Linked DNA regions of Arabidopsis thaliana. The protein of the gene in region 1 interacts with the protein of each later gene in a pairwise test. Each region holds a gene or a part of one and is shown on either strand. Other genes may lie near its edges. The genes, in order: AT1G64625 and PIF7.

Region 1 (5,413 bases):
TAACAAAAATTATGTATATTATGAATAAAATACTCTAAATTTAAAGAAAAGTATGAATCCAACACTATCTCTATCTTAGTACATATATATGTGGACTAATGGTAGTTAGTTAGAGTTACTCTTAAGTTTTAAGCGATAAAGGAATTTTGTTTTGTTTTTGACAGAAAAATATGTTCTCTAGTCACATATTTTAACGAAAAGTTTTAAAATAGCTTATCTAACAAAAAGCAAGTGTACAACATAAAATCCAACTTTTGGATTTATTTCACCACTTTCGGACACAATTGTAATAAGAACGGAAAGTTTCGAAAAGGGACAATAAATCAACTAAAGACGAAAAAGGATTAAGGTGAAAATCTTGATGCCGTTGACTTTTGTTCTCAACGGCCATGATTGAGCGTGTGATGAGTATAAGAGACCAAATTATGGCTATTTCTAATAACCCCAAAAAATAAATTGATTGATGAGTTTTTCTTCATTTGATATGTAATTATAATCACTTATTCCATTTCAAGATTTGTGGATATCTATTGATATTCTCTACCACTATCAAGAAGCTAAAAGTGTATTAAGTGCATGTACATTAGCTTAGGCCGAGAAGTTTTTTTTTTTTTTTTTTAAAGGTGATGTATTTGTGGCACTTAGGCTTAGGCATGTAATGTGTGGTGTGAGATGTTGCGCGACTTGCGAGTAACAAAAATGGGTCTCAAATATTGAGGCATGTATTTCTAACGTTTGCTATATATGCCTTTGATGTTCTCTAAATTCTATTTTATATCGTATTTCCATAGTAATATTCAGTAAAATCATGAAATTCGAAGGTTGATATCAGAGTTTATATAGTATAAAGTTTTAAGATATAAATAATCCATTGAAAACTCAAAACATAGGTACAAAATAGCACCATGTACAAATAAATAGCTAAAATAAAGTAATAAAGTAACAAATTAAAACACGTTTAATACTATTCATGAACTAATGTTCAAGTCTATTTAACATTCACATTTTTCCTTGCTTGTGATCTTCTATATAAACTTAAAATTAAACATGCATGGTTTCCTGATAATAATAAGATGTTTAGTTATATTAAAGAAAAAAGATAGTAGCTCTCAAGACTTAAGGCGGAAGCATAACCTTATTTTTTTTAGGTTGGTACCACAAGAGACCACAACTAAACATTTGGATGAATATAGGTATAACAAATCTCTTATGATATGTATATATCTGGCTTATATATGAATGCATACTCTACGAATGTATGTGACTGCTGACGACATTGGTGTTAGACTGTTGATATAATTATATGAGGCAGTGGATCGAGATTTGAGAACTACTTAAGTCAAGATTATCATACCGAGAATTCAAGATTTAGGTGACACATATTTTGGGAACCTCATTGGCCCATACACTAAAGAGGCGGTCATTCTTTCTTTATAACTCTAAACCATATTTTCCAACCAAAAACGGTCGATGTTAAGCTTTAATATGATGTTCAAGATATAGGATACGAGGGAGAAGATGATCGCTAGAAACTCCACAGCACCATTTATCTTCCTCTGTTGTGGGGATCACATTCTCCTCATTTTTATTTTTCCATTGCACCAGTTTCCACTATAGAAATTTTCATCAAATGTTAGTTAATTAATCATATCTAAATATATTGAATACTATTAAAGTATATCATAAATTCGTATCGAGTATTTAATGAATCGATGATAAAAAGTAAAATCAAAATAAAATCTCCCTTTATGGAAATTATACCCTCGAAGATCCTCTCCCGTCCTAAATTTTTCAAAAGACAACAAATAAATATATAGTAATCAAAGCAAACTTTTTCACTAAACCGGCAATAGCCGGTGTAATTCACGTCACTTCCGGGACAAAAGCGTGACTGGACACCGGCAGACAAATCACATCAAATAAATAATAGTAATATATTTAATTCCTCAGACAAAAAGGCTCTTCCACTTCTTATCGAATTACAAACATTTCATGTTATTGTTTGGTTATATATATAGAGAGACAAAGCTCTTAACTCCTTTTTAATTGCTTGAACAAAAAGCAAAACTCAAAGGAATTTTCTCTGTATTTTTTTCTATCTGCAGAAAATTAAAGAAAAAAAGAGAAAACTCAAAAACCCACATTTTTCCTCTGTTTCCAGCTTTTCTTTATCTTTGGAGTTTGGTTTCTGGAGAAGACAAAAGTTGTTGTCCTTTTTAAGAGTTCGAGATCCTGCAGAAATTAAAAGGGCTCTTCCCGGCTTGGATTCCTAAATATGGGTTCAGAGTATAAGCATATATTGAAGAGTCTCTGTTTAAGCCATGGATGGTCTTATGCTGTGTTTTGGCGTTATGATCCCATCAATTCCATGTAATTTCTCTCTTTTTTCTTTCGAATGTTATATGCATGTTCCTGTCTTGGATAATATTTGCATAAAACTAGTTTTGTTTTCCGTTGATTTAGGCAAAAGACTGAATTGCATATCCTCTGGTTTTATATGTGGCTTCCCTACTTTGGTGTCCATAAATGTAATTTAGTTTTGTTGAATTCCATCAGGATATTGAGATTTGAAGAAGCATACAATGATGAACAATCAGTCGCACTAGTTGATGATATGGTTCTCCAGGCTCCTATCTTAGGCCAAGGGTATGCTTTTACACTTCACTCAAATCTTTTATATATCTGTCTCTGTGTTTGTGTTTATATATCTTCAATATACTTTTCTTTTGATGAAATTAGAATTGTGGGAGAAGTAGCTTCATCCGGAAACCATCAATGGCTGTTCTCAGACACATTGTTTCAGGTTTGTTCACTTCTTTTTCTTGGTGTTTGATTTTTCTCATCTGTGAGCTATAATGTATGTCGAAATATAGTGACTGCATAGAACATTTCATGATGAAGAAGAAAAAAGATTTGATATTCGTGCGTTTGATTGTTTTGCAGTGGGAACATGAGTTTCAGAATCAGTTTCTCTGTGGCTTTAAGGTAATTTATATTTTGTCTTCTCTCCAAGTTTAAGGATTCATATATCCATTTTGAATCAGATTCTTATACGGCAGTTTACTTATACACAGACTATCGCAATCATTCCACTAGGATCCAGCGGCGTTGTTCAGCTAGGATCTACTCAAAAGGTTTGCATATATAATTATATAACAATGTTTTCTTGTTGTGGAAGTCATGGTCTAATTACTTACTATCAATCTTTAGATTCTTGAGAGCACAGAGATATTGGAACAAACAACAAGAGCTCTCCAGGAGACGTGTTTAAAGCCACATGATTCCGGTGATCTCGATACTCTGTTTGAGTCACTGGGAGATTGTGAGATTTTCCCAGCTGAATCTTTTCAAGGATTTAGCTTTGATGACATCTTCGCTGAGGACAATCCTCCTTCTTTGCTCAGCCCTGAGATGATCTCCTCTGAAGCAGCTTCTTCCAACCAAGATCTGACCAATGGAGATGATTATGGGTTCGACATTCTCCAGTCTTACTCTCTGGACGATCTATACCAGCTGCTCGCTGATCCACCAGAACAGAACTGCTCTTCCATGGTGATCCAAGGAGTTGACAAGGATCTTTTCGACATTTTGGGGATGAATTCTCAAACGCCTACAATGGCTTTGCCACCTAAAGGACTCTTCTCAGAGCTCATAAGCAGCAGTCTTAGCAACAACACTTGTAGTAGTTCTCTCACGAACGTGCAAGAGTACTCTGGTGTGAACCAGAGCAAAAGACGGAAGCTTGATACATCATCGGCGCATAGCTCAAGCTTGTTCCCTCAGGAGGAGACAGTAACAAGTCGGAGTTTGTGGATTGATGATGATGAGAGATCAAGTATTGGAGGGAACTGGAAGAAGCCTCACGAAGAAGGTGTGAAGAAGAAAAGAGCAAAGGCAGGAGAAAGCAGGAGGCCGAGGCCTAAGGACCGTCAGATGATACAAGACCGTATCAAGGAGTTGCGAGGGATGATTCCAAATGGAGCTAAGGTAAATTGAATAATAATATAGTTTAGTTTAGGGCATCCAAATTATAGATTAACAAATGCATTCTCTAATAAGTTTCGATATATATTTAAACAGTGTAGCATAGATACGTTGCTGGATCTGACCATAAAACACATGGTGTTCATGCAAAGCCTCGCCAAGTATGCAGAGAGACTCAAACAACCATACGAGTCTAAGGTAATGAATCAAATATATCCATTCAGTAAGTACACAAGTGTTTGAGTATTGATGAGTGAATGATGTTTATCAGCTGGTGAAGGAGAAAGAGAGAACATGGGCGTTGGAAGTGGGGGAAGAAGGAGTGGTATGTCCGATAATGGTGGAGGAATTGAACAGGGAAGGAGAAATGCAGATAGAGATGGTGTGTGAGGAAAGAGAGGAGTTCTTGGAGATAGGACAAGTGGTGAGAGGATTGGGATTGAAGATATTGAAAGGAGTGATGGAAACAAGAAAAGGACAAATATGGGCACACTTCATCGTACAGGCAAAGCCACAAGTCACAAGGATTCAAGTCTTGTACTCACTTGTTCAGCTCTTTCAACACCACACCAAACATGATGATTTATTATCATAGTATAATACCTACCACTTTGATTTTCTTTCTTTTTGTTACAACAACAACACAAGAATCTGTTGATAAATAGTAGTAACATTACATCAAAGAAGATTGTATGGGCTCGTGGAAAAAAAAGAAGAAGATTGTATGGGCTTTAAAACATTGACTAAGACAAAGAAAGAAGGCCCATTTAAAGAAAAAAGGAACGTAACGACACCGTTTTGGGTGGATAACAGTTAACTGACTGAATCAGAAAATAGATGCCCGTTATCCTTGACGAGGATAAAGGGGAGACACTGTATATAAATAAAAAGTTGAACAAAGATCAAATCCTCAATCTGTTTTTAGGGTTTCGAGAGAGAGAGAGAAATTGATTTTTGTTGATATTTGTGAAATTTGGTGGCGAAATTGAAGCTTCTTCATCGGTCGTTGTCTAAAAGCAATGGTGGATGGTTGATGAATGGAGGAGATGCTCTTCTTCTTCTATCCAATAACAATAATAAGAGACACGACGCTGACACAAACGCAGAACCATCTCACCACCGTCATCATCTCGGAGATGGCCGCCACACTCCTCTGTTCCCGATCTCGATTCCGATCGGCGATCGACTCCTATTGCTTCGCCCGTGAGGCCTTCTCCGATCCAATCTCCTTCCATCTCCTCACCCTTCTGTAACCACCAATCATCATCCCTCCTTTCTTCTTCTTCTTCTTCTGCTTCCGGATTATTAGTATCATTAGGTTAGAATATCTGCCATGGAAGAGGCTGACTTCGTCCAGAAAGATCCCACTGGTCGCTACATTAGGGTACGACGCTATCTGCAATTTCCATGGTTTCTAGGATAACAATGT
Region 2 (5,016 bases), on another chromosome or scaffold:
CTGTGTGTGTTGTTGAATCTAGCGTCAAAGGTGTTAAGAGTGAAAAGCAACCATCATCTGAGAAGAAAACCATGAAAAGTGGGAATAAAAGCTTGAGTACTACTCCTAAACGTGGTTCTAGTCCTACAAAACAGATTCCTGGTAAAATCAGTACCGGTTTGACTAAGAAGAAAGAAACTGGCTCTGCAGACGTTGTTGAAGCAAATCCAAAACCGGAGAAGAAGGTTAGGCCTAAGAAGACAGGAGTAAAGGTGAGTCTAGCTCAGCAGATGACTTTCAAGAAAGGAAAGGTTCTTGATCCTAAACCCGAGGATTCTTCTCCGAGATGGATCAAGTTCAAAAAGAGGGTGGTGCAGGAACTGAAAACGCAATCCGAAGGGAAGAAGAAGAATCTTAAAGATAGAAGATTGGGTGTTGAGACGAAAACAGATTCTTGTGAAGGAAGTAAACGTGAGAAAGTTGTTCTGAGGCATCGAAAAGTAGAAGGGAAGAAGAAAATGATAACATTGTTTAACAATGTGATTGAGGAGACAGTGAATAAGCTAACAAAGGTGAGGAAGCACAAAGTGAAAGCTCTTATTGGTGCTTTTGAAACTGTTATCTCTCTTCAGGACACTAATAAGACATCTCACAAACCTCAGAGCAAGGCCACAACATCTGCTTCTAAGGTTAGACCTTTGGTCTCCGAACAATGAAAGAAAGAAAAAAAGACAAAAGTTTATTTGTGCATATGATCTATTAACATTGAAGATTTTAAACTTCAAGAGCGACCAAGAGATAATTTTCTTGTTACTGTCCTCGAAATAGCAAAGGGTTTAGTAATGTACTTTGACAGTTACTGAATTCAGTTGTGAAGCTTTCAAGTTTTATCTGCAAGTCTTTTTCCATACTCAAAACAGTTTTTACAATCATGATACAACAATCTTTCAAGAACTATATATATGGATCAATAATACTAGGTCGCTAGACTAATCTCTTTTCTCATGATTCGAAGAACTTGAAGGCATGCCGATATTTACCTTTGTTGTTTGATCAGACTGTTGTCTATAGATAGCTGCTGCCATTTTATTGTAGAGATCCATATTCATTGTCTGCATCAGCATGGCCAATGGAAGTGAGCTCAAGATTTGTATATCTTTGAACACTTTTCTCGAAAACAGTTAAAAGCGGTCTTACCTGTGCGAAAAAGGCGCTGTATGGATCAGATAATGTGGCTGAAGAACCGTTGGTGCAGTCTCTGTTACCCATAGGAGGGACCATCATTGGTGGAGGAGGAGGAGGAGGAACTAAACCTCCATAACCATTTCCACCACCTCCCATTCCCATTCTTGCCATTGTTGCAAGCAACGACATCTGAAACTGTTGCTGCTGTTGTTGCTGCTGCTGCTGCTGTTGTTGTTGTTGTTGTTGGTGTTGGATGCTGAGAACTGACTGTGGTGGAGGTAGTTGCGGAATCATCATTTGTTGTGGCAAGTTGGCTCTTAGGCTCATGAACTGTACTTGTGCTTGTAGCTGTTTCAAGTGTTCGATAACATCATCCAAGATTGAGACTTTATCCGCCTGCAATATCCGAATAACGCGTTTAAACTGACCGATATCAATATAAACAAAGTTCTTAAACTTAAAAGTGGGTTCTTCTAGGATAGACATTTACCTTACTTGCAGTAGGAAGCAGCTTCTGAAGTGTTCTCATCCTCTGGTTTATCCTATCACGCCGTCTCTGCATCAAAACTCAGAGTCAGTAGTTTGGTAATCACGGAAAGAGAAAAGATGGATTAGTTTTTACCCTTTCGGACTCGTTGTGAATCGCTGCTGCTCGTCCCCGTCGTCCATTAGATCTACCTGCTTCTCCTCTTGTCTCTTGTTCATCTCCTTCAGTATCTTGAGTTTCCTATTAAAGTCCTCTTTTGGTTATTTCTCCAGTCATCTTTCAGGAAAAAAAGGAAGAGTAATTTTGTTAGTTGTTACCGATCCAGAGCGGAAATAGTCTCTGTCTCCGGTTCTAGCTGTCTTCAAGCTCCGACCGGATTCAAAAGACGCCCAAGACATATTGGTACCACTCGCACTTGCAGTGACGCTGTGGCCAACTCTATGGCTCTCCTCTTGAACAGCGAACCATCGGTCCATTTCTTGAGGATAACCGCGTTTTCTTGAACAAGATCCATCCTTGCTCTCATAATTGTGGTTTGGACCATTCGGACTCTGCAGCTGAAACTTGCTTGGCTGCTGTAGAGCCGCTTGATGAACCACAGACTCCAAAGTCTCACAACCGTTGAGACTTTGAGTCCAAATAGGGTTATTCGAGGTGGTTGGTTCTACTTCGTCGCCTAGACCATGAACGGTTAGTTGCCCATTTTCCCATGTGAGCTCTTTAACTCCATAATTCGACCTGAGTCACGAAAAAAAAGAAATTGGTTTTGTGTTAAGACTTAAGAGAGAGAGAGAGATAAACAAAAAAGGACAGAAGCGTAAGGTTTTGTCTCTTTTTGGTGTAAACAGAGAAGAGTTCTTTATCAGAAACAGAGAGAGATACATGTGTTACTTAGGCCGCACGTTTGCAGAGAATAAACTGACAATTAAGCTCTCTTTTTTTTTGTTCTCTCTATTATTGGACCTTCTCTCTTCTCTCTTTCTTCTTGCTTGAAATGTTGAGTTCTTCTTTCTTCTTTGTGTGTTCAAACTCTTGACAATCACAGCGACAACTCATGCGGTGTATCTGCCTTTGATCCATATTGAAAGTTATAATAAAGAGGCCTCTCTCTCTCTCTCTTCTTGTCTCCTCTTTCTCAAAAATGGTCCCTGCAAAACGTCAAATGGTTTTTATGTGGACGAAGCACATGTGTGGCAAAGGATTGTTTGTGTTTTGCCACTCAAGTCCAGAATCATCTCTCCTGCTTAAGGAAAAAAAAAACTAATAAAATGAGGGCATTTTCGTCATTTCTTCACAACCGACTCACATTGACATGAATGTGTTATTGCATGCATTTGACTACTCGGTAGAAAGCATAGCAAAGCAAAGCGTGTGATTCACCGATTTAGAAACAAACACATTTCTAATAATAGAATTTATTATTATTATTTAAAAATGTAAATTTTTATCGTTATACAGTATAATAAACGTAGTTGAAATATATACATATATGTAGACGCATTAAAGAATAGAAAACAAGATATATTTATTGGAGTAAACACGTAAGAATCCGAAACTATAGTATGGTATTCGAATGTCAAAAATGAGAGTGAGATGTGAGGTTGATGCATCAACTAGAGATATTTGATGCAAGTTGCTAGGAATCAATCAATATGTTCTCACTTCTCAGCCTCTTTTAATCACTTCTTTAATTTTTCTCTGTCCATTCCCATCTCACAATATATCAAATGACTTGTTCATATGATCACCATAAAAACATTTTTAAAAAGTAAAAAAAAAAGAAAAGCATTTTTAAGAAGTTCATTTTACAAAAAGTAATGTATGGGAAGAAAGTTTCTAGTCTACCATGGGAGAAAGAAGAACAAGAATAAGAAGAAGTTTTTTAGATTTCTCAAAGAGATATCTCATTGATTTCCATGAATAATTGAAGCAAAGATTGTTCTTACTTGTTTCTTAAAATGACATATTATGTTTTTCAAATTTTGATTTCTTACTGTAGTTAGTGTTTATATTGCTATCTAAGATATTTTTATATGTACTCTTCAAAATGGAGCATCACTTATTAAATTTCTTATAGGACCTCATGTGCACTGGTCCAGAGATTACCTAATACATAGCCGTCTAGGTAGTTTTGTACGTAAATAGGTAAAAATAGACGACTTTTTCAATCATTGGTTCAGTACTTTTGTATCAGATTGGTTACAACTTGCAACCATAAGTTGAGGCTTATAAGCCTTGTTTGTAGTGGAACAACAAGTTGATATGAATGAAATATGTGATGTTGAGTCAGAAGAAAAGAATACGAAAACTATAAAGTACAGAGAAATGGATAAATACGGATCAACCCCTTTGTATTGTGAGATTTTCTTTCCCAATCATTTGATGTCACATCAAAATCTTAAGTGATTTCACCCACTCCGCTCTCGAGTTACGGCCGACAGCTTCAAAACTGATGTCGTCATAATGACACGTGGAAAGATCTTATTGGATGGTTTTTTGGGACCCAGTGTTGATCTGTGAAATTCAGCCAATCAACTTCTCGCATTAGATTCTTGACAGCGAATCCTAACGCTCCTCAGAGTTATCTGTTCAATTTCAAGCTTTTTTTTTTCTTTGATGTTCAAACTCTCTTTTATACGAATTAGATTCTTCACATCAATTGTTTTCTGCTAATCATTTGATTTATGATAACTTATTCTTTGATCACTAGTTGATGGTAATGACTGTATTGACCAAATGATGTTATAGATTTACATAAAACTAAAAAATAAATAAATAAAAAATACATTAAACTACAAATTAAAATTAAATGTCACTGTCAATGTTCTTTTGATATTTGAATGTACTCTTTCAATTAACACTCGTAGTTTTCCGTGAGACTTTACAAATTTGCCTATGCAACTCAACACAAACCCGAAAAACAATTGTTACTTATCAAAATTAAAGAATATTAATATGGTTTCAATTTATCATAACAAGTTTTAGCTAGAATCCTAAAGTCGTCACTTTTGTAATATAAAAGCAGAGGACATGCATGTGTTCATGTATGTGTGCGTACGTGTGAGAGATAAAGAGGTAGATAAAAAGTGAAGAGATTGAAAGCTTGATTGAGCAAAGTTTAATCAGTGGATCTTCCGAAGAATTTTTAGGATTTATTTTAAGGATTCGTACTTGTTAACTATTCATGTGTTCTTTCATTTCAAGTTTCTATTTTTCTTAAGTCTTTCAAGAACACACGAGTTTAACAAAGTGAGAAAGATAGCTTTTATATAAGAAGAAAACATCATATTTATCAAGTTAAGTGAGTTCTACTTTTAACTAGGTAACTATGAGAAAGTTATATAGAATGTATTATGTTTATAAAT

Evidence for each region.
Region 2: the proteins of AT1G64625 (region 1) and PIF7 interact in binary tests that used the Arabidopsis thaliana proteins (3 or more experiments, as listed by UniProt).

Annotation. Positions count from the first base shown.
Region 1 is NC_003070.9:24,014,603-24,020,015, forward strand, and holds AT1G64625 (Serine/threonine-protein kinase WNK (With No Lysine)-like protein), read left to right. Parts: upstream 1-2,053; 5' UTR 2,054-2,275; coding exon 2,276-2,370; intron 2,371-2,556; coding exon 2,557-2,646; intron 2,647-2,739; coding exon 2,740-2,803; intron 2,804-2,943; coding exon 2,944-2,985; intron 2,986-3,044; coding exon 3,045-3,134; intron 3,135-3,210; coding exon 3,211-3,987; intron 3,988-4,080; coding exon 4,081-4,182; coding exon of another isoform or gene 4,183-4,227; exon of another isoform or gene 4,228-4,255; coding exon 4,256-4,579; 3' UTR 4,580-4,669; downstream 4,670-5,413. Other genes in the region: WNK10 (with no lysine (K) kinase 10), read left to right, coding at 5,318-5,368. UniProt on the Arabidopsis thaliana protein: Transcription factor that may regulate root development.
Region 2 is NC_003076.8:24,637,905-24,642,920, forward strand, and holds PIF7 (phytochrome-interacting factor7), read right to left. Parts: upstream 2,862-5,016; 5' UTR 2,536-2,861; coding exon 2,534-2,535; exon of another isoform or gene 2,390-2,533; coding exon 1,969-2,389; intron 1,892-1,968; coding exon 1,787-1,891; intron 1,721-1,786; coding exon 1,655-1,720; intron 1,561-1,654; coding exon 1,177-1,560; intron 1,092-1,176; coding exon 969-1,091; 3' UTR 696-968; downstream 1-695. Other genes in the region: AT5G61260 (Plant calmodulin-binding protein-like protein), read left to right, coding at 1-695.